Arabidopsis thaliana: one gene and its partners. The protein of the gene in region 2 interacts with the protein of the main gene of each other region in a pairwise test. Each region holds a gene or a part of one and is shown on either strand. Other genes may lie near its edges. The genes, in order: SWI3B, BRM, TCP5 and SE.

Region 1 (5,371 bases), 4.7 Mb from region 2:
TGTCTATTGTTCTGATGAAGAGTTTCGCATGGTTCTTGTTATAGGTAATGAAAAGTATGCTCATTTGAAGAAGCTTGATAAAGCTGGTGACAAACTCAAGCTCTTCAAGGCTGATTTGCTCAACTACGGCTCTCTTCAATCTGCTATTGCTGGCTGCAGCGGCGTCTTCCATGTCGCTTGCCCTGTTCCATCTGCTTCAGTCCCTAATCCTGAGGTGAGGATTTCATTTTTACAATCTCATTGGTGGCTATATGCATTGTCTCACTATGGTTTCACTGGTTTTGCAGGTAGATTTGATCGCACCTGCAGTGGATGGTACGCTGAATGTGCTTAAGGCATGCGTTGAAGCAAAAGTTAAGCGTGTTGTGTATGTTTCCTCTGTATCTGCAGTTGCTATGAACCCTATGTGGTCAAAGAGTCAAGTGTTAGATGAGACCGCTTGGTCTGACCAAGATTATTGCAAAAAAACTGAGGTTAATAATGCATCTTGAATCCCTCATCTCACTTTTTTTTCTTCTTTTAAATCTGACTTTCGTCCCTCTGGCAGAATTGGTATTCTTTGTCAAAGACACGAGCAGAAAGTGAAGCTTTCGAATTTGCAAAACGAACCGGACTTGATCTCGTCAGTGTTTGCCCTACCCTTGTCTTGGGACCTGTATTGCAGCAGCACACAGTAAATGCTAGTAGCCTTGTTCTTCTCAAGCTTCTTAAAGGTATTATAAACAAGCCTCTCATTTCATCTGGGATTGTTAGAAGCAGCAACTTGGTATATGAGTTGGTATTGATTTTATACTTAAGTGTGGTGCAGAGGGTTATGAATCGCGTAATAACCAAGAACGGCATTTGGTAGATGTGCGTGATGTGGCTCAAGCTTTACTTTTGGTTTATGAGAAAGCAGAAGCTGAAGGAAGGTACATCTGCATAGGCCACACGGTTAGGGAACAAGAAGTCGCTGAGAAGCTGAAAAGTCTTTATCTAAATTACAACTACCCAAAGAGGTAAGCAAACAACAGCTGCACATCTCTCTACCCAATTTGAGTGAAAACCTTTAAACCTTAATAAGCTGTTTTTGTTACTTTCATCAGTAAACAGTGTCACTTACCTTTACATCAATGTCTCTGAAGTTTCTTTTAGACCTTACCTTTGATCTAAATTCTACTTATCCAATATCAGATACATCGAAGCGGATGGAAAAGTGAAGGTGAGTTCAGAGAAGTTGCAGAAGTTGGGTTGGACTTACCGGCCGTTGGAGGAAACACTTGTGGATTCTGTTGAGAGCTACCGCAAAGCTAAGCTTGTGGACTGAAAACTGGGAACGAATAGCATATGAGTGTTTTGGGTCCATGTGTTAAGTGTTCCTATCTGCACACGCTCTTTCATCTTTTACTCAAGAATAAGAGTTGTGCAACATATTTTCCATCATGAACTTCTGAGTTTTTGTTACTTTCTTAGACACCATTACTTTTATGACCAATCTACAATTACTCCTTCCATAACTATGTTCCAATATCTCTTTGATACGTTCCAATTTCTACCTACTTACAAAGGATAACTTCACCATTAATACATGAAATCAGTAACGCACAACTTCACCATTCGAATTAACCTCTAAGCCTAGCGTAGCAGATGCACTACATCTTGGCTGACCATGGGACTAAAAAAACATTCGCAATATTTAACAACTAAAGCCAGGTTAATGGACCTGTATTAGGGCCCAAACCAGGCCCGTTTAGATATCCGACTTTTTTTTTAACTTTGCCCATCTCGATAGCTAGATTCTCTTTTCCCTCTTCCTTCTCCGGCGAAGTTGCGTTAGTTAAACAGAGAGTCATGGCCATGAAAGCTCCCGATCCCGGCGGATCTGGGGAAATTCTCCCGAGCACTCCCTCTCTTTCCGAAACTACGTCTGGAGGCGCCGCAGCAGCTTCTAAGTCGGCTCAATTGCCGTCTTCTTCTTCCGATATCGATAATATTCACGTACCTAGCTACTCCAGTAAGTCTGCAACGCCGAGAAAACTTTGATTTATTCTACTTTCTTCACTGTTTCTTACGGATTTTGTACTTGTACCGTCTATTTAACCAATTAGGTTGGTTTTCATGGACCGACATTAACGATTGCGAGGTCCGGTCACTGCCGGAATTTTTCGATTCGAGATCTTCATCCAAAAACCCTAAGTTTTATCTCTACTTGAGGAACTCGATTATTAAGCAGTACAGAGACGACCATCCTCGGAAGATTAGTTTCACTGACGTTCGGAGAACTCTCGTCAGTGATGTTGTCTCTATTCGTCGCGTCTTTGATTTCCTCGATTCATGGGGACTTATCAACTATAATAGCTCCGCCTCTGCTAAGCCGCTCAAGTGGGAAGAAAAAGAGGCCGGAAAATCCGCCGGAGATGCTGCTTCTGAGCCAGCCACAACTGTCAAAGAAACTGCCAAGAGAAACTGCAATGGCTGCAAAGCAATTTGCAGCATAGCTTGTTTCGCCTGTGATAAGGTTTGATTTCATAATTTGTAGCCATAGTAATAATTTCATTCACTGAGTTTGTCACTTAGAATGATTATGTACATTTTTGTTTTCAGTATGACTTGACATTGTGTGCGAGGTGCTATGTTCGTAGTAATTATCGTGTTGGTATTAACTCCTCGGAGTTTAAACGAGTTGAGATTAGTGAGGAGTCAAAGCCAGAGTGGTCTGATAAGGAAATTCTGCTGCTGCTGGAAGCTGTTATGCACTATGGAGATGATTGGAAGAAGGTTGCATCGCATGTTATTGGTAGAACGGAGAAGGATTGTGTTTCTCAGTTTGTCAAGCTTCCGTTTGGGGAACAGTTTGTAAAAGAGTCTGACTCTGAGGATGGTTTAGAGATGTTTGATCAGATCAAGGACTCTGATATTCCTGAATCTGAAGGAATAGATAAAGACGGTTCTTCTCCCAACAAGCGGATCAAATTAACACCTCTTGCAGATGCAAGCAACCCAATAATGGCTCAGGTTAGAAAGACACTACAATTTGAGTAGTTGCGTTCTCTCTCTATGTTAATCTTATTTGTATAAGTCTTCAACATGCGTGGAAATGCTTTTACATTGTTAGGCTACTGAAGAATAGTCCAGTGTCTGCACTAGGCTGTTCCACGACTTGCGTTTTTGTCTCCTTAAAGAACCTAAATCTAGAATACCTTGTGGGGCTTACTTTGAAATCTAGTAATAACAAACCCTAGTTGACATATATAAGGCATTTAAGAATCAAATATGTGTTAGATAATTCTGTACTGTGTTATCACACCTCAATTGTTATGCTTCATTGGCTGTCTCTGAATAAGATTTATCCTATCATGTCCTCTTCAGGCTGCTTTTCTTTCAGCTTTGGCTGGCACAAATGTTGCAGAAGCAGCAGCTCGAGCGGCAGTGAGAGCTTTATCTGATGTAGACTACGAGGCTGACAAAAACGCCAGTAGAGACCCAAATCGACAAGGTATCAAAGACCAAGCTGTCTCTATTTGCAGTCCATTTCTGTCCTAAGCCAAACCCAATAGTGACAGTTTTGTTTTCCTGATACACAGATGCCAATGCTGCATCGAGTGGTGAAACCACTAGAAACGAATCTGAAAGAGCTTGGGCAGATGCAAAGTCTTTAATTGAGAAGGAAGAGCATGAGGTAGAAGGAGCAATCAAAGAGACTGTTGAAGTTGAGGTTAGTAACAATCTGCAACTTTCCATAGACTTTTTATTATATGGTTATACTCAATGATGATTTATGTTGGAACAAACAAAATTTGGGATTAACAGATGAAGAAGATCCGAGATAGGATTGTTCATTTCGAGAAATTGGATTTGGAAATGGAGAGAAGCCGGAAACAATTGGAGGAGGTGAGGAATCTGCTTTTCGTTGATCAATTAAACATTTTCTTCCACACCAGAAAAGCCCGGAAAACTGAAGATAGAATAGAGTGTTAGAACGCACTTAATTTGAAACTGTTATTTCTTATTTGATTCTTGTCTGGTTAAGAAGATGACTTGTATTGTAGTGTACTTGAGATGTGTTGGTAACAAAATGAGATGAGATCGAATTGGTATAAATAAGGCTGGGTTGGTATAAAAGTCAAAACCAAATGGCAACTGCGTCGAAGTATAATTTTTGTCTTTATCAGGCAATCACAAGTGGAAAAGTTTTAAAAATTAATTTTGCTCTTTTGGAAACAATAGAAAATGTCAGGGTTTTGGAGATATCCGATATAAAAGATAGATTTTGTTTTCACTAAATAGGTTAATCTTCAAATGTTGTTAAGTTACCGATGTTTTTTTTGTATCTCCGTAACATGATTACTCTCTTTGTTGCTAAAAGAGTGATGGTTTTTATATTAAGAAACAGTCATTAATTAATCATTTCTGTATTGTTTGTTATATTAAACATTTTCAATAACTATAAACCAATAGCAGTCTAACAAATTTCAATCATTTTATCTTGAACTTTACTAGTTCAGGTTTTTCAGACAAACTAAAAAAACATTGAATTTTCTGTTTTATCTCTAATTAATGTGTTATTTAATATCATATCATCAATTAATCAGCCAAAACAATAAGAATTTCTTTTGGAAAATCTTTCAAAAACATGCATTGAAAATATAAAACGATAACTAATTTAATACAAAATTTAATTTCTAAAACATAACTAATTTAGAAAGGAGTGAGTGATATTTAAAAAAAATAAAGAAAAAACGAAAATGTTTTTTTTGTGGGACAAGTTAAAAGTGGTAGAACATCAATTTATTAGAAACAAAGAGAGTGTATTTTTCTTTCTTCCCCATCGGGAAACCAAACCCAATTTATTTATATATTAAACTCGTACAATATAAAATCTTTTATATTTAACTAAAAATTCAGTAAATATCCATTCTTCGTAAATATTTAAACTCTATTTTTTCTTTTTAAAAAGATCAATTTACATCTTAAATTCAAAATATAAACCATAATATATTATGTACATATTAATACTGCATTCTAAACAATTTCCCAATATAAAAAATAAAAATATATAGAGGTAAATAACTTATCATAACTACTTTATTGATGGCCTTTATAATTAGTTTCTGCTTTGGTAGAATTTTTTAGTTCAGCCTTTATCTCGTTATCTGCATGTCTCTAATTGAGCTTTGTTGCTAAGTTTTAGCTTTTTTTTTTCTTATGCGATCACTTTGCTGGTTGTTGTGTTGGTTGGTTCGGTTCCTTGTACCTTTGATGTATCCTCTATTTCTCTTTTTATCTAGGTTAAGCTTTTTTATTAATGAAATATTAAGTTTGATTGGAAAAAAGAGGCACATTAATAGAAAGTTAGCTTTGTTGTTTAGGTTTTATTTAATATATGTACGTG
Region 2 (5,231 bases):
CTGGGGATACAACACTGAGAAAGAGAGAGCTGAAGCAGCAGGCATTCCCAGGATTCAGGTTATTGAGCTCTCCACGTTTAGCAATAAGCTTAAATGAGTGCATATACTCATTGGAAAAGAAACAAAGCTTTCCTCTTTATTGTATTCTACGGCATTCAACGGAAACTAAAAACCAAACATGTTTAGGTAAGATTCAGTAAAAGAGTTGAACTTTCAGTACTACCCATTATAGAAGCTTTTCTGTGACCTATAATTCATCCTTAGTAAGATCATTCTTGTTACCATCACCATCTTCGTGATCTTTCCTTTGCTCAGCTTGAAATTTGTCAAAGACATCTTCAAATGGAGGATCTCCAGGTCTTCTAAACTCTTGCTTCCCTATCTTGACCTCGTAAGCTTCTTCTTGGCTCAGCACGAATTCCCTTAGCTAATTGAAAGATATGATTGTGATGTTAGATTTTGACTAATCCACTAAACAAAGTTTTCAGCATTGTGTGTTTTCTGTGGCTTTTACCTCAGTCACAAGCTTCCCATTTTGCATATTGAACATCACTGTGCTTCGATCTACAGCCATGAATCTTACTCCTATCCCTCCTGTTCTTAAAACTTTTGTCCATTTCATAGCAATATCAATCACCACATCCTGATTGAAACATATAAACAGATCACTATTCAATCCCCTGAAGCAACTGGACCCATATCGAATTCAGAGAATTTTGAACAGTAACTGAAACTATAACTTAAGGACCCCAAATTCACGATTCGATTTGGATTTTAGTTTACCTTGGTACGGGGGACGCCTAACCGGAGCTTGACGAAACCGACGACGGTTCCAAAAGTCCGTTTAGCCATTTCCTCTTGGATCTGATCGAATCCCATATTGGTGAAATCCGGAGGCGGATCAAATTCCGGGGTCGTTGCTTTCTTCCCCCACTCTTTCCATGACTCGTCTTCTTCATTGTCTTCAACGTCGTCTAGGTCATCGGAGATCTCGATCCGTCGCTTCGTTGCTTCGGCGATCCGGACAAATCCGTGAAAATTCATAAAAAGAAGGAGGCCAACAAGTAGAATCAGCGAAGAAGAACGAACGATCTTCTCCATCGTTTAACAAATTTATTCAGGAATCAGAAACAGAGGAAGAGAGACTGCATCGGCAACGGCATTTCTATATCAGTAAAGCTTCTACAAACTCGCACACAAGTCACAAAACCATAATAATGTGACTTTTTACTTGTTTCGGGAAAAAAAACTATTAACGACATAAACTGAACCTGCTGGTTCAAAACTGTTCGCCGTTTTTCTATCTTAAAATAGAACTGCGTGCCAACTATTGACGTAAAGATGGCAAGCATATCAAGGCTGAAAGATGAAAACGACACGAGGTTGCACCGTAAATAAAACAAGGGTAATTGTATGATTCTCTCTAATCTACTACTGCACTACAGAAGGTAAAACTAAAAGTCAAAATTTGTCTAATTTTAAATTCAAATTAATTAATCAAGTAAAACAAACATAAGTCTAATTTGATTTCCAAATTTGTTTTTTTTTTTCTTTTTTTGATTTCCAAATTTGTTTATAGTAGTATCATTTTAGTATTCTTATTACCCAATACGGAAACAAATATTTGAAATAAACATGGAAAAATTAAAAGTCATTCCATTTGGTTAACAAAAGGAACGTTTGGTAAATTCACACGTGTCTCATCGTCATTTGTGCAACTGACTTGTATAAGGAAGGGTACTTGTGGTAATAAAAGCGAAAACCGAGGGGTGGCCTCGTGAAACGCATTTTCCGTGTTCCAACTGTATCGAGGCGTGGGACCTACAATCAAAAATAAAATAAAATTAATGCCCCTTCCAAAAAAAAAAAGAAAGAGAAAAAAAAGAAAAAGGGAAGTAAGAAGCCAGCTAGGGTTTGACTGCGAGAAATTTCTGATCTGCGTGAATTTCTCAAAGAGAGGAATCGATCATCGATTCCGTGGATTTCGTTTCCCTCCCTTTTTATTTTTATTTTTCGAGAAGCCATCTCAAAGGATCTGAGTTTATACCGTTGCATCCCCCGCGACTTTCGTTTTCCGATTTCCCCCAAATTCGATGCAAATCTAAGAAGAGAGAGAAATAGAAAGGTGTGTGCGCTTCAACCGACTCAGTGTCTCTCTCTCTCTCTCTCTCTCTCTCTCTCTGTTGCTATTTGAGGTTTTTTCCTTTGCCTCGGGGGCTCTCGCTGTCCGAATTCTTTTGTAGGGATTTATTGGGTAGGGTTTTTCCACTTTTTTTTTGTCTTCTTCTACTAGCTTCGTTGTGCATTGGGTTTAATTGTTTCCAGTGTAGTGACTGTCAGATTCTTCGACCAATTGCATGCAATCTGGAGGCAGTGGCGGAGGGCCCGCTCGGAATCCGGCCATGGGTCCGGCTGGTCGGACTGCTTCCACGTCATCCGCTGCTTCTCCTTCTTCTTCCTCTTCATCTGTGCAGCAGCAGCAACAGCAACAGCAACAGCAGCAACAGCAACAGCAGCTGGCGTCTAGGCAGGTAAAGGATTCTCAAGTCTCTGTTTGGTTCGTTATGACTTAGGAGGGATAAAATGCTTGTTTGTAGTGGCTAATGTTTGTCTGTTAAACTTGCGGCTATTCAATTTTAGTGGGACTTGACTGTTTATCAATTCTGTGTAAAAGGAAAGTAACCAATATCTTTAAATTGAAGTTGTGTAATGGTAGCCACTTGGAGAACATGTTTTGTTCATTTCCACATATATATATAGTTGCTCTGAATTGTGGATTATTGTTCATTTGATTGTTACTAATTATTATCGTGCTTCTGATATGGCAGCAGCAGCAGCAGCACAGAAACTCAGATACAAACGAAAATATGTTTGCATATCAACCTGGTGGGGTTCAGGGAATGATGGGCGGTGGCAACTTTGCTTCGTCTCCGGGCTCTATGCAAATGCCTCAGCAGTCTAGAAATTTTTTTGAGTCTCCTCAGCAACAACAACAACAACAACAACAGGGTTCTTCTACCCAAGAGGGCCAGCAAAATTTTAATCCAATGCAGCAAGCGTATATTCAGTTTGCTATGCAGGCTCAGCATCAAAAAGCACAGCAGCAAGCTAGGATGGGAATGGTGGGTTCATCAAGTGTGGGAAAGGATCAAGATGCACGAATGGGAATGTTGAATATGCAAGACTTGAATCCGTCTAGTCAGCCCCAGGCCTCATCATCGAAGCCATCGGGCGATCAGTTTGCTCGCGGTGAAAGGCAGACTGAATCAAGTTCTCAGCAAAGGAACGAAACAAAATCTCATCCTCAGCAGCAGGTGGGTACCGGACAACTAATGCCTGGAAATATGATAAGGCCAATGCAAGCACCACAGGCTCAGCAGCTTGTCAATAACATGGGAAACAACCAACTCGCATTTGCACAACAGTGGCAGGCAATGCAGGCATGGGCGCGTGAGCGTAATATCGATCTCTCACATCCTGCCAACGCCAGCCAAATGGCACACATCCTTCAGGCAAGAATGGCTGCTCAACAGAAAGCTGGTGAAGGCAATGTGGCCTCACAGTCACCATCTATTCCAATCTCTAGCCAGCCGGCTTCATCTTCGGTTGTTCCAGGTGAGAATTCACCACATGCCAACTCTGCTAGTGATATCTCTGGGCAGTCAGGATCAGCGAAGGCCAGACATGCATTATCTACTGGCTCATTTGCCTCGACTTCCAGTCCCAGAATGGTCAATCCTGCTATGAATCCCTTCTCCGGCCAAGGGAGAGAGAATCCAATGTATCCTCGACATTTAGTTCAGCCTACAAATGGGATGCCCTCAGGAAATCCCCTGCAGACTTCTGCAAATGAGACTCCTGTTTTGGATCAGAATGCATCTACAAAAAAAAGTTTAGGTCCTGCTGAACATTTGCAAATGCAGCAGCCTAGGCAACTGAATACACCGACTCCAAATTTAGTAGCGCCATCTGATACTGGTCCACTCAGTAACTCGTCCCTTCAGAGTGGACAGGGGACCCAACAAGCACAGCAGCGATCAGGATTTACCAAACAGCAACTCCATGTTCTCAAAGCCCAGATACTGGCATTTAGGCGTTTGAAGGTTTTCAGCTCTGACTTTTTCCTTATGTCTTCATTTTTATTGTATGTTTTGCTGGAGATGTATGCCTATAAATAACGTGTCTGCAAGCCAGGTTGAATGTTTTTAATTGCTTTTTTTTGACAGAAAGGGGAAGGTTCTTTGCCTCCGGAGCTTCTTCAAGCTATTTCTCCACCACCGCTTGAACTACAGACGCAGAGGCAAATATCTCCTGCCATAGGGAAAGTTCAGGATAGATCTTCAGACAAAACTGGAGAAGACCAAGCAAGGTCGCTAGAGTGTGGCAAGGAGTCTCAGGCTGCTGCTTCTTCAAATGGACCAATTTTTTCTAAAGAGGAAGATAATGTTGGAGATACAGAAGTAGCTTTGACGACAGGCCACAGCCAATTATTTCAAAACCTGGGAAAAGAAGCTACTTCTACTGACGTGGCTACGAAAGAGGAGCAACAGACTGATGTATTCCCTGTTAAGTCAGACCAAGGAGCAGATTCTAGTACTCAAAAGAATCCTAGAAGTGATTCTACAGCTGATAAGGGAAAGGCTGTTGCATCTGATGGAAGCCAATCTAAGGTTCCTCCACAAGCAAACTCTCCCCAGCCGCCCAAGGATACAGCCTCTGCCAGGAAATATTATGGACCGTTGTTTGATTTTCCCTTTTTCACTCGAAAACTTGACTCTTATGGGTCTGCAACAGCCAATGCCAATAACAATCTCACATTAGCATATGATATTAAAGATCTGATTTGTGAAGAAGGTGCAGAGTTCCTTAGTAAGAAAAGAACAGACAGTTTGAAGAAGATAAATGGTCTGCTAGCAAAAAATTTAGAAAGGAAAAGGATTAGGCCTGATCTTGTTTTACGGCTTCAAATTGAAGAGAAAAAGCTTAGGCTATCTGATCTTCAGTCTCGTGTTAGAGAGGAAGTAGATCGACAACAACAGGAGATAATGTCCATGCCGGATAGGCCGTACCGCAAATTTGTGAGGTTATGCGAACGGCAACGCCTAGAAATGAATAGACAAGTACTGGCCAATCAGAAAGCTGTCAGAGAGAAGCAGCTGAAAACCATTTTTCAGTGGCGTAAGAAACTCCTTGAGGCTCATTGGGCTATACGTGATGCACGCACTGCTCGT
Region 3 (4,902 bases), on a different chromosome or scaffold from region 2:
AGTCAGAAGTGTCGAACATATACATACATGTTACATGTATACAAACATACAATTTTAACGTATTTGGTATTTTCTGTACAACTAATGATCACAAGATCCTATATATATATGATCCAAAAGTCGGAGGAAATTAAGCCAAGAAGCTCAAGTCACGTCGTCGTCGTCGTCATCATCATCCATCCCTATATATGATTCGGTTGTTTTTTTGTCAACATGATGATTAAGTTAAATTATGTGTATATATATAAAAGGCAGGAACAATTTAATTGTATTCACATAATTCGTTGCCAAATCCTGTCATACATTCCCAAAATTCCCTAAAATATGATCTTGTTAATAGTTTCTAGCTTATTCCTTAAGCTTGAATTTACGTTAAATCAATTTTGAAAGAAATTAAGGTTTTGGCTTTGACAGACGTTACCAACCAAGCAATGACTAAAGGCGGCTTTGGTAGTGGGCTGCTTTAGACGACGGGTAGGTTTGGCAAGCTTCTTTGTTGGGACAAAAAAATTGTTGTGATAAATTTCACCACAAGTTTTATGAACATACATCATAATTAATATTGTTGCAGCATATATTAGTTAGACCAATATACCACTGACACCATCTATATAAAAGTTAGTACATGTCTATCACAGTACCAAAAAAATGAAATGTACAAGTCTATCTCGCTCTAAGAATAATTTGTGTTTAAAATATACCACCATATCCGGAAAGATCCTTGGAAATGCCTTTAATGAAGGCTTCCAATCGCCTTCTTAAAATAATCTGTGACATTGTGTTGTGATCATCTTAAAATGCCTTAAAATTGTGTTGGATAATCTACGGAACCGATGTGGAAAAAGAAATCCATGGAACCTTTGATTTGAGATGAACAGTTACCACAATTTATATGATCATTAAAATTATACGATATATAAGTGGTTCATATTTATTTAATATTTTCCCCATATTTAAGTGAGGACCAAAAAACTGATACAAAACTTTTTCTTGCAAAATTACAAATGTAACTTTGTTACAGTCAATTTCATCTCAAGATTACATAATCAAAACCAGAGTTCTTAATTTGAAACCGTACAGTACTATATATGCAGTAACTCAATATTCTTCGTAAACAACCAGTGTGGGTTAAAGGCGCGGTCAATTACAGAAGACTTTATATATAGTAGTGATCAAGTTGGATACAAAGAGGAAAGAAAATGGTTTGTGATTGTGGGCAAAAATCTCAGTGGCAAAGACACTTAGAAGAGAAGTGGACCACAAATCTCTTTGTGAGTATTTAGGCATTAGATGCTTTAAAGAAAAACCTATACTCGTTGGTCCATTCTCTATCTCAGAGACAGACCCTTACCTCCTCTAGCTGTCAATCTCTATTATATTTACTTATATATGTTGATATTAAAACAAAAAATTTATATATATGGATATTTTCTATATATGCTTAAAAATATAACCCACAAGTAGTTAATTAGAAATAAAAGCAGTATTCCCAACAGTTTGATTTTAACAAGTCTACATTTCATTATCACTAAATTTAGGGTTTCAACAAGTTGCTTCGTTAATAATGAAATTCAACAATTTATCTACAAATAAAACTTTTCATTTTCCAAAACGACAGAAACTCAAATGAAATGAGCGACGACTGTAAATAAATTGGTCTTTCCATTTGTTTATATTATGAATTTTTTTGAATTTACTAAAATTTGGTTTCATAAAACTTTCAAACTCGATCTTGTATATATATATGTTTCACAGTTCAAAGTTCAAACCACTTTTACCATTATTAATTTACTATACATGTACTATATTTTTTTTTCACTTTAAAAGCTCTTGTTACCATTTATAACTATTAATTTGTCAACCGTACACTTTCTCTTAAATGACCTTAACCGTATGTTTATATTTTTGTTTAAGATAAGAAGACAACATAGATCACAAACTTGGGTAAAAATTAAATCATATAAAATTCAAAATGAATGTCTAACACCAAGGAAAGGGAACCAAAACTTGAATACTAAAATATATTAAAATTTATTGTAAAGGTTTTTTTTTTGTCAACTATTGTAAAGTTTTATATATATAAGATTTATGTGACTGTGAGTGTAACGAAACATGCACATTCCCATCACAGTATCAATACACTACATAAATTGCTCCTCTTTTGTCCTTCTGCATAAATTCCTTTCATACCGAAAAAAAAAAGCCCTAGGGATCGGAATATAATACTTAAAAATATATCTAATTCATTTATTATTTAACTTCCCCAATCATTATAATATACATATGTAATTCTAGTTTCCAAAAAAAGAAATACTACACATTCCTCTGCCTCCTTATCTCTTTCTTATTCTTCTTCTTCCTCCTTCTTCTACTTCTCTATCAAGCTGGATCTTGAAATAGGACTCAAGCTTACCAGTATTCAATCAACGTAAGAACATATAACCTTCAACATGTTTGAATTTCAAATTCTTATGAGCTTTCTTTTCTTTGATGCAAACTCAAGAAAGAGATATTATTGCTTTGTTTTCATGTGAATCTCGCTCCAAAAACATATTTAAAATCAACAATTTCATTCAATTGAAAGCTAACAACAACTAATTCTTGTCTTCTTGATTTATTTTCTATTAAATTGGTCAATTTATTCCCTTCTTGTTTCAGATCTGTTCTTTACACCAAATTGAGTACTGAAGATCTTGTTGAGTGAATTAAAGAGATGAGATCAGGAGAATGTGATGAAGAGGAGATTCAAGCAAAGCAAGAAAGAGATCAAAATCAAAATCATCAAGTAAACTTAAACCACATGTTGCAACAACAACAGCCGAGTTCGGTATCATCTTCAAGGCAATGGACTTCAGCTTTTAGGAATCCAAGAATCGTTCGAGTCTCAAGAACATTCGGTGGCAAAGACAGACACAGCAAAGTATGTACAGTCCGTGGTCTTCGAGACCGGAGGATAAGGTTGTCCGTACCTACAGCTATTCAACTCTACGACCTTCAAGATCGATTAGGGCTGAGTCAGCCAAGCAAAGTCATTGATTGGTTACTCGAAGCAGCAAAAGATGACGTAGACAAGCTACCTCCTCTACAATTCCCACATGGATTTAACCAGATGTATCCAAATCTCATCTTCGGAAACTCCGGGTTTGGAGAATCTCCATCTTCAACTACATCAACAACGTTTCCAGGAACCAATCTCGGGTTCTTGGAAAATTGGGATCTTGGTGGTTCTTCAAGAACAAGAGCAAGATTAACCGATACAACTACGACCCAAAGAGAAAGTTTTGATCTTGATAAAGGAAAATGGATCAAAAACGACGAGAATAGTAATCAAGATCATCAAGGGTTTAACACCAATCATCAACAACAATTTCCTCTGACCAATCCGTACAACAACACTTCAGCTTATTACAACCTTGGACATCTTCAACAATCGTTAGACCAATCTGGTAATAACGTTACTGTCGCAATATCTAATGTTGCTGCTAATAATAACAATAATCTCAATTTGCATCCTCCTTCCTCGTCTGCCGGAGATGGATCTCAGCTTTTTTTCGGTCCTACTCCTCCGGCAATGAGCTCTCTATTCCCGACATACCCTTCGTTTCTTGGAGCTTCTCATCATCATCATGTCGTCGATGGAGCCGGTCATCTTCAGCTCTTTAGCTCGAATTCAAATACCGCATCGCAGCAACACATGATGCCGGGTAATACGAGTTTGATTAGACCATTTCATCATTTGATGAGCTCGAATCATGATACGGATCATCATAGTAGCGATAATGAATCAGATTCTTGAATGATTTTATATATCTACACTATACATTGAAAATGTTATATGTATACGTATTCTTCTATATTTTGATATATATGCGTATTGTTGGATTGGTTTATGTATCTTCTTCGTGTATGTATACACTTTTTAATAGTCTCGGATTTAGATTCGAACAAAGACATTCATAATGCGAGGATGGTTGTTATTTCTATATATGTTTTAGTTTTGAAGGTAGTTTTTGCTTCCTTAAGAAATTATATGAATTCTACTTGAATGTCTTTCTCTATTCATTTATGAATATATACACTCGAATAAATGAATTGTACAATATAGGTATCTCATAACTAGCTAGCACTTTCATCCTAATCCATAATCTAGATTAGTTAATCATATTTCATATGTTAGGATTTAGGTTTTACATATATGGAATTTTTTATTGTTATCACGAATGTGAGAAAGTGAATAAAAACGCAAAGAACAATAATACTTTTCAAAATAGGATGGAGGAAAAACAGATTCAGAAAAAGAAAAAGAAAAAAAGAGTATTAACATAACCCTAATTCAACTTTAAACCAAATAGGTCCATCGAAACCCATATGCTATTCTACCATCGTATGACCAGATTCAAAGCATTTCACCAATCACCATTATATATATATATATAGGCATCACAATGTTGCTAAGAAAAAACATTATGTAATTTTTTTAATCAAAATATGATATGATCTATCTTAATCATCATTATGCAATGATTACATAGTCAGGACTTGAATTGGATATAATCGTATCTACAAATTAATTTTGATATATATATCTATAATTAACTACAAAAGTACAAATTTTTACCGCCAATGTAATAATGTATATAGAAAAGTCATGTTTGTTCACAATGCAAATGAAAGAAATCGAAGGGGTCGTTGCTTGTCATGTGTCAGAAAAACACCAATAAGTTTCAAATAATTTTATGTCCACAATCATTCATTTTCTTATAACTACGTATATTTGTACGGGCATATTAATTATGAAATGTATTCATAAGAACATAAATATATATCCATGCATATATATTATATATTCTTTATATATAGAGATACGAACTTAGAAGTATAGATAGGTTACTGTTCACAATG
Region 4 (7,235 bases), 7.4 Mb from region 2:
TAGTGGACGTGTACAAGGAAGATTCAACTGGAACTTCAGTCTCAGAAAATTTCCTGAGGGCAGTTCCGGTACTCTTAAGAGACTGAACGTATGAAACGTGAGCAGCAGCTAACAAACATCTTCCATCGAGTGCTTGTTGGACGAATTTTTTTCTTTCTCGACATAACTGTAAGGCTTTATCTTCATCTATTCTGGATGTTGATGCACCCATTGTCCAAGCTTACATGCAAAAAAAAGAGTAACATGAGTTAGATTTACAACCTGCAGAACTACTAGAATAGCTTCAAATTCAGAAAAAGAAACTTTAATTAGTGGGGAGTGATCATATGTTAATTAGGACTCACTAACTATTCCGACTAGGAAATTTTCTGTTAAGTGGTTTTGGAGATTCTAATAAATAGGAAGCAGGACGATGGATAGATCCATCCTGCGACATAGGCTTGGTTTAGACCGAGGGAACTGTGTTCTGTATTTTGGGGTTCTATTTCAGTTATTGATTTCAGTAAAATAGTGGTTCTGATTATATTCTAGTGATCCTTAACTCTAACAAAAACAAACACAACAATCACAAAACCACTTCAAAAAAAAAAAAAGTATTAAAGCCTCTCAAGACACTGTATTCTAGGGATCAATGCACTGACCCCTGGCAAGACCCGATCAGAAATAACCAAAACATAACTAGAAGAGAGAATTAAGTAATAGCGAGTCATCTGTTCCACTAAGTTATCTAATGCAAAGGTGTGAGTGAGAGTATCATTGTATTCATGTTGAATATGAGAGAAGAACAGTGCCCTTTATTACCAAATTGCATCATGATATATAAAACAAATGAAAATTACGCATTGCAGGATATTTGCTATTTAGCGAGACATGATCATTCTCTCAAATCTCAAACTCAAATCTCATGCCTCCGTATATAGAAAAAAACAAAGAAATCCCAAGCAAACACAACGAAGATACATAAATTAAATCCAAGGCAACAAATACAAATCAAGCTTATGTTGCTCCCAACACAACACAAATCAATCATACATACCAAATAAAAAAAACCCTCAAAGCAACTATCTATCAACAATTAAAGAACAAATTTCCACTTTGAAATCCTAACACAATCTAACCTATTCTCTTAACTTAGTAACCTGTTCCGCCGTTTAAAGTTCCTCAAGCAAAATCCTTATGGAAAGAGTAAAACTTTCACAGAACCATCGGATAGATGACAAACAATCAGAATCACATAAGAAGGCAACTTTTTCGTAATCGGAATCCCAAAATAGGGCGAGAGAGAATATAAGGAGAGCATAACCAAAGTCATACCGCAGACAAAACACAAAACTGATTGAACAAATTAAGAAGTTTTCTTAGAGTAATCGAAAATCAAAACCTGAAAAGTGCACGAATTTGACAAAAAAGAGAGATTTTTATAGAAAGGTAAAGAAACCCAAATGAAATTGGACCATTAGAGTAGAAGAAAACCTAGAAAAGGTGAGATTTTTCACACAAGTAGAAGAAACAACAGTAAGATGGAGAAACGGTGATACCTAAAGAGATGTCCTTTGAGAGCTTTGGAGTTACGCGAGAGGATCAAACCCAAAAGAAAACAAAACGTCTTCTTCTACAGGAGACGAAGAAGAAGGAGAGAGGTGGTCTGTGTCGTGTGTGAGTCAGCAGCGAATCAGATGGGTAGAGAGAAGAGAGAGAGAGAGAAGAGGAATCTTATGCGAGAGGAGAAAAAGGAGATTGTGTGTGTATGTGTGTGACTACCAACATGCAATAAAGCATTTGCTTGCTTGTAAAGACGATTTTGACGGATGACTCCAAAAACGGTAACTTTCTCTTGCCGTTGTTATTTCTACTCCGGTTACTTTTCTTACACCTTTTTTTTGTTTGTCTTTTTATTTTTTTAAGGATTCATTAGTTTATGATAAACATCCTTAATCTATGGTCTTAGTCAATTGCTTTACAAAACAATTTTGTTACATGTCAACTCACATTTTAGTATTTTACTAATAATCAAATCCATAGACAGATTATGAAAAAATAATCCATAGTGATCCCATAAAAAATAGAAACTAATCTTATCAAATTGACAGAGATACTAAGACTTATTATTGGCTTAATTTACAGAATTGTTTGAAGAATTTTTCTGGAAATGATGGGAAAGAATCTGACTGAAATATTAAAATAGTTTTGCTTCGATGAAATGGAGGAATAGTCAAAGGTGTGGACAAATAATTAACATAGAAATCCAAATACTGTATTTTCATAAAGACGAAGATGGGCCTCTGAGAGTAAGGCCTATTTATGAAGACGAAGATGGGTCTCTGAGAGTAAGGCCCTATTGGAAATAAAGCTCACTGTAACAGTAACAGCAGCAAAACCCGTAAAGGTAGAGGGAGAGACACAGAGGCTTCGAGTGAAATCGTACATTCTCCGATTTAGGGTTCCGAACGAAATGGCCGATGTTAATCTTCCTCCGTCTGATTCCGTCGATAACCGTCTCCCTGAGAAATCAACCTCTTCCTCACCACCTCCTCCACCGCCTTCTTCTTCTCTGCCGCAGCAGGAACAGGAACAAGACCAGCAGCAGCTTCCGCTACGCCGTGAGAGAGATTCACGAGAGCGTCGTGACGAGAGAGACATCGAACGTCCTCCGCCTAATCGCCGTGAACGTGACCGTTCGCCTCTCCCACCGCCTCGTAGGGATTACAAGAGACGTCCTAGCTTGAGTCCTCCGCCACCGTATAGAGATAGGCGACACTCTCCTCCTCAGCGTCGCTCGCCTCCTCAAAAGCGTTATCGGAGGGATGATAATGGCTATGATGGTCGCCGTGGTAGTCCTCGTGGTGGCTATGGACCACCCGATAGAAGGTAATCTTCATTTCTTATGCTTACACTTCAATTGGAATTACATCAGAGTTAATTTGTTACCGATTGAATTATAATTCAAAGTCATATGGGAACTGTGTTTGCATTGTTGCTTAGCTGATAACTGTTGATTATCCTCTTGTATCGATGGTTGTTATATTCCATCGTTTTCGAGATTTCCTAATCTGTACTCAATTTTTACTTTGCATGTTAGATTTGGGTATGACCATGGTGGAGGATATGACCGTGAAATGGGTGGGAGGCCTGGTTATGGTGATGAAAGGCCTCATGGTCGCTTTATGGGTCGCTATCAGGGTGAGACATCTCTGTCTAAGATGTTTTTACAGTTGAGAGAATCAGTATTACCACTTTTTCGTATGATTTCTGTCTTGTGAGACATGTTTAAGATACCTATCATTGGGCGTTCTTATTATTTGTGGACTTCTGTTCATTTGACTAGCTTCGTATATTTCTCTCTGTATGCTGTGGATTGGAAACAAGCGATTTACATTAGAAGATAAGATGTCAATATCTACCTTTTATTGTGTGTTACTTATGGCAGACTGGGAGGGAGGACGTGGAGGTTATGGTGATGCTTCCAACAGTGGAAATCCTCAAAGGTTAAGGTTCCTTCTTCTTTTGTTTTTTAAAATTTTCTTTGTATTTCATGGGTTTGTTGTCTTTTTCCTATGGCGTGTTTATTCTTGGTAGCGTATTTTTAATCAAGTTAGTGTAAACTAAGAGTTGCGAACTGTCTAATGGTGCTCAATGAATGGAGGATACATCCCTTGTAGAATGTTCTTTCTTCGATGAGACATATATGTTTTTTTCCTTATAGCTCCGGAAAGTTAGAGTGAATGTTTGAGAGACACCATTATAGTGGCACACAACTGATGCTGTCTGTATCCTCCCTTGCTGTTGCATTTAACGATACTACCTTTGTAATTCCTTTACCCAGGGATGGATTGATGTCATACAAACAATTTATCCAGGAGTTGGAAGATGATATATTGCCATCTGAAGCTGAACGCAGGTATGATCATTTCTGCTACTTAGTCTTGTTACTTAAGCAATTTAATAATAAAGCTGCGGGTGTAATGCTTTTTTCCTGATGCAGATATCAAGAATACAAGTCAGAGTATATCACAACACAAAAACGTGCCTTTTTTAACACCCACAAAGAGGAAGACTGGTGATTTCACTATCTTTTTTCATCTTTTATATTCTTCTGGGATATTCTGCAAGCTAGCCTAATAACATGTGTATCTATGTTGCGCATCTACCAGGTTGAAAAATAAGTATCATCCAACAAACTTACTATCTGTCATAGAAAGGTGAGTTCAAGAGTCATTTGAAGCAATTTGATTCGGTGTTAGTGCCTGAATAGTGTAATATTAATACTATACATCCTTGATTTTATTATTTTAATTTTCTTTTCATTAAAGAAACTGTTCAACTATAGATATTCCTTTGAAATTTTTCAGGAGGAATGACCTTGCACAGAAGGTGGCAAAGGATTTCTTACTTGATTTACAAAGCGGGACACTAGATTTGTAAGATCATTTCTTTGGCCTTTATTCCACATGTGTGACTGATCACAATTCTGTCATCTCTAACGCTCTCAGTTTCCCTTCTGTTCCAGAGGCCCTGCAGTGACAGCATTGAATAAATCCGGCCGGACCAGTGAGCCTAATTCTGAGGATGAAGCCGCTGGTGTTGGTAAAAGAAAAAGGCATGGTATGGGTGGAGCTAAAGAGAATGAACTTCTTTCAGCCGCACCGAAAGCACCCAGTTTCACCTCTGATCCAAAGAGAATCCTGACTGACGTTGAACAAACACAAGCCCTTGTGCGTAAGCTAGACTCTGAGAAAAAAATTGAGGAAAATGTTTTACAAGGTTCAGAAACTGAAAAATCAGGTAGAGAAAAGTTACACAGTGGTTCTACTGGTCCAGTTGTAATCATAAGGGGGTTGACATCTGTGAAAGGCCTTGAGGGTGTTGAATTACTTGACACGCTTGTTACATATCTATGGCGTGTTCATGGTCTGGACTATTACGGAAAGGTTGAAACAAATGAAGCTAAGGGTTTGCGGCATGTGAGAGCTGAAGGAAAAGTTTCTGATGCAAAAGGAGATGAGAATGAAAGTAAATTCGACTCTCATTGGCAAGAGAGGTTGAAAGGTCAAGATCCCTTGGAAGTGATGGCTGCCAAAGAGAAGATAGATGCTGCCGCTACTGAAGCTTTAGATCCACATGTCCGAAAGATTAGAGATGAGAAGTATGGTTGGAAATATGGTTGTGGAGCCAAGGGCTGCACGAAGCTGTTTCATGCTGCTGAATTTGTGTACAAGCATCTCAAGCTGAAACACACTGAGCTTGTCACAGAGCTGACTACCAAAGTTCGGGAAGAACTGTATTTTCAGAACTATATGAAGTATGTAGGCTTTTTCTCTTGGATTCCTCTACTGTCGTTTCTGACAGGTTCGTAATGAAATTTTTTTGTGCTATTTGCAGTGATCCTAATGCTCCAGGAGGACAACCAGCCACGCAGCAATCTGGCCCGGTACATGATCTTCTTTTGAGATTTAATGGAGTGTTGACTAGTCTGTACTTTTGGGTTATCACTTGTTTAGCTTGGTTTGAGTTTTATTTACGTGGGTTAATTATACTTTCAACAGAGAGATAGACCTATAAGACGTAAACCCAGCATGGAGAACAGACTGAGGGATGATAGAGGTGGACGCAGAGAGCGTGATGGACGTGCTAATGGAAATGACAGAAATGATCGGTCAGAAGATCAACAGAGAGGGGATAATGATGGTGGAAATCCTGGGGAAGTTGGGTATGATGCATTTGGTGGACAAGGTGGTGTTCATGTTCCTCCCTTCTTATCGGATATAAACCCACCACCAATGCTGATGCCTGTTCCTGGTGCTGGGTAGGTTTAATAAAGATTACTCACTCCCTTCATGATCTTGTTTTCAGAATAAATTAGTTACTGTGTTGAATCAATGATCTTAATGTGTCTGAATGATGATGTGGTCAGGCCACTGGGACCATTTGTACCAGCACCACCTGAAGTTGCTATGCAGATGTTCAGGGACCCAAGTGGACCCAACCCTCCTTTTGAAGGTAGCGGGAGAGGTGGACCTGCCCCTTTTCTGTTGTCTCCGGCCTTTAGACAAGATCCTAGACGGCTGCGCAGGTAACGTAGTTCACTCTGTGCTATGAGTCCATTACCCTATGATCAAGAGTGCAGTGTCTCTAAGGTACTAATGTATGAGAAATTTGGTGCAGCTACCAAGACCTAGATGCTCCAGAGGAAGAAGTGACCGTTATTGATTACAGGAGCTTGTAGACAAGACAGGGCTAGAGAGATCCCGAGTTTACTGGTTCGGGTTGGGTTAAAGGGCATCAGTATTAGAAGGCAAAGCTAGCAGATTGTGGCATTTTCTTACCCTTTTGATGTATTATGTCTTGTTCCTCCCAATTTTCACTCACTAAAGCGTAAAATACGCACTCCATACATTTCCTTATTGTTTTTCAAAATTTTTCATGTGCTTTCTTACTAATTCTGTTCGACGATGATTACATAAATAGCATGAGAATTTCTTGTATTGAATAATGCGTTTTATCCACATTGTTTGTTATCAATACTTAAGTCTCCATGGCAGTCTTAAATCTCCATGGCCATTAAATATAATCTGCAGTCAAACGAATGACTATCCACAAGAATCCAGGTTTTTAGGGTTCAATGTAAATAAGAAGGATATATACACTTCAAAGCCTGGCTCAATGCCTACCAGATTCTACACACTTGCGTAGATGACGTGACACTTACACATGTTACAATTACACATAAGGCATTGTATCGTAAATCTAACAACACTAATCACAGACGAGCTCTAATGAGGTTAACAACCATTTTCCAAAGTTTTCTTTTCCAGAGGTTGTTTCTCTCTCTCAACATCATTTGCGTTGCTTCTTTGCTTGAGATTCTGTTTGTAGCTCTCCCTGCAAATGCAAGATACCGTTTAGATACTCTATAAGACAATACATAGACCAAGTAATAGTTCAGGAACAATTATAGGTCGATATGAACCTAATTGATTGCTGTTACTATTACTAATTCAACTATCATTGGCCTTGTAATTATTTAATAACTACTACTTGGAAAAAGAAAAAGAAAAAGGGAGTGTGCCTACAACGATTGAGAGCTGCTCACGGATATAGGCCATTGATCTCAACATGGCACCTAGTGTATCTCGGGACACCTGAAACTTGACCTCTGATTCTCCTGTTGTTGTCTCGGTATCTTGAAGCTGGAGTAAGGAAAACAAAAGAAGATTTTTTCACACTGTTGAAACCTT

Evidence for each region.
Region 1: the proteins of BRM (region 2) and SWI3B interact in a two-hybrid assay, tested with the Arabidopsis thaliana proteins (one study listed by BioGRID).
Region 3: the proteins of BRM (region 2) and TCP5 interact in a two-hybrid assay, tested with the Arabidopsis thaliana proteins (one study listed by BioGRID).
Region 4: the proteins of BRM (region 2) and SE interact in binary tests that used the Arabidopsis thaliana proteins (3 or more experiments, as listed by UniProt).

What each region holds. Positions count from the first base shown.
Region 1 is NC_003071.7:14,227,193-14,232,563, forward strand, and holds SWI3B (switch subunit 3), read left to right. Parts: upstream 1-1,779; 5' UTR 1,780-1,830; coding exon 1,831-1,993; intron 1,994-2,087; coding exon 2,088-2,497; intron 2,498-2,583; coding exon 2,584-2,994; intron 2,995-3,348; coding exon 3,349-3,475; intron 3,476-3,563; coding exon 3,564-3,694; intron 3,695-3,789; coding exon 3,790-3,957; 3' UTR 3,958-4,216; downstream 4,217-5,371. Other genes in the region: CRL2 (NAD(P)-binding Rossmann-fold superfamily protein), read left to right, coding at 45-214, 288-473, 548-713, 809-998, 1,174-1,306. UniProt on the Arabidopsis thaliana protein: Component of a multiprotein complex equivalent of the SWI/SNF complex, an ATP-dependent chromatin-remodeling complex, which is required for the positive and negative regulation of gene expression of a large number of genes.
Region 2 is NC_003071.7:18,920,947-18,926,177, forward strand, and holds the start of BRM (transcription regulatory protein SNF2), read left to right. Parts: upstream 1-1,586; 5' UTR 1,587-2,254; intron 2,255-2,330; 5' UTR 2,331-2,357; coding exon 2,358-2,531; intron 2,532-2,828; coding exon 2,829-4,103; intron 4,104-4,226; coding exon 4,227-5,231. Other genes in the region: AT2G45990 (ribosomal RNA small subunit methyltransferase G), read left to right, coding at 1-97; AT2G46000 (LDL receptor wingless signaling/trafficking chaperone), read right to left, coding at 248-427, 515-643, 784-1,101. UniProt on the Arabidopsis thaliana protein: ATPase subunit of a multiprotein complex equivalent of the SWI/SNF complex that acts by remodeling the chromatin by catalyzing an ATP-dependent alteration in the structure of nucleosomal DNA.
Region 3 is NC_003076.8:24,534,464-24,539,365, reverse strand, and holds TCP5 (TEOSINTE BRANCHED 1, cycloidea and PCF transcription factor 5), read left to right. Parts: upstream 1-2,121; 5' UTR 2,122-2,428; intron 2,429-2,658; 5' UTR 2,659-2,713; coding exon 2,714-3,796; 3' UTR 3,797-4,029; downstream 4,030-4,902.
Region 4 is NC_003071.7:11,570,135-11,577,369, forward strand, and holds SE (C2H2 zinc-finger protein SERRATE (SE)), read left to right. Parts: upstream 1-2,262; 5' UTR 2,263-2,452; coding exon 2,453-2,868; intron 2,869-3,079; coding exon 3,080-3,180; intron 3,181-3,427; coding exon 3,428-3,485; intron 3,486-3,823; coding exon 3,824-3,898; intron 3,899-3,982; coding exon 3,983-4,057; intron 4,058-4,151; coding exon 4,152-4,199; intron 4,200-4,349; coding exon 4,350-4,418; intron 4,419-4,507; coding exon 4,508-5,299; intron 5,300-5,379; coding exon 5,380-5,428; intron 5,429-5,543; coding exon 5,544-5,803; intron 5,804-5,911; coding exon 5,912-6,070; intron 6,071-6,162; coding exon 6,163-6,223; 3' UTR 6,224-6,524; downstream 6,525-7,235. Other genes in the region: AT2G27090 (bZIP transcription factor (DUF630 and DUF632)), read right to left, coding at 1-211; FRS3 (FAR1-related sequence 3), read right to left, coding at 6,835-6,879, 7,071-7,187. UniProt on the Arabidopsis thaliana protein: Acts as a mediator between the cap-binding complex (CBC) and both the pre-mRNA splicing and primary microRNAs (miRNAs) processing machinery.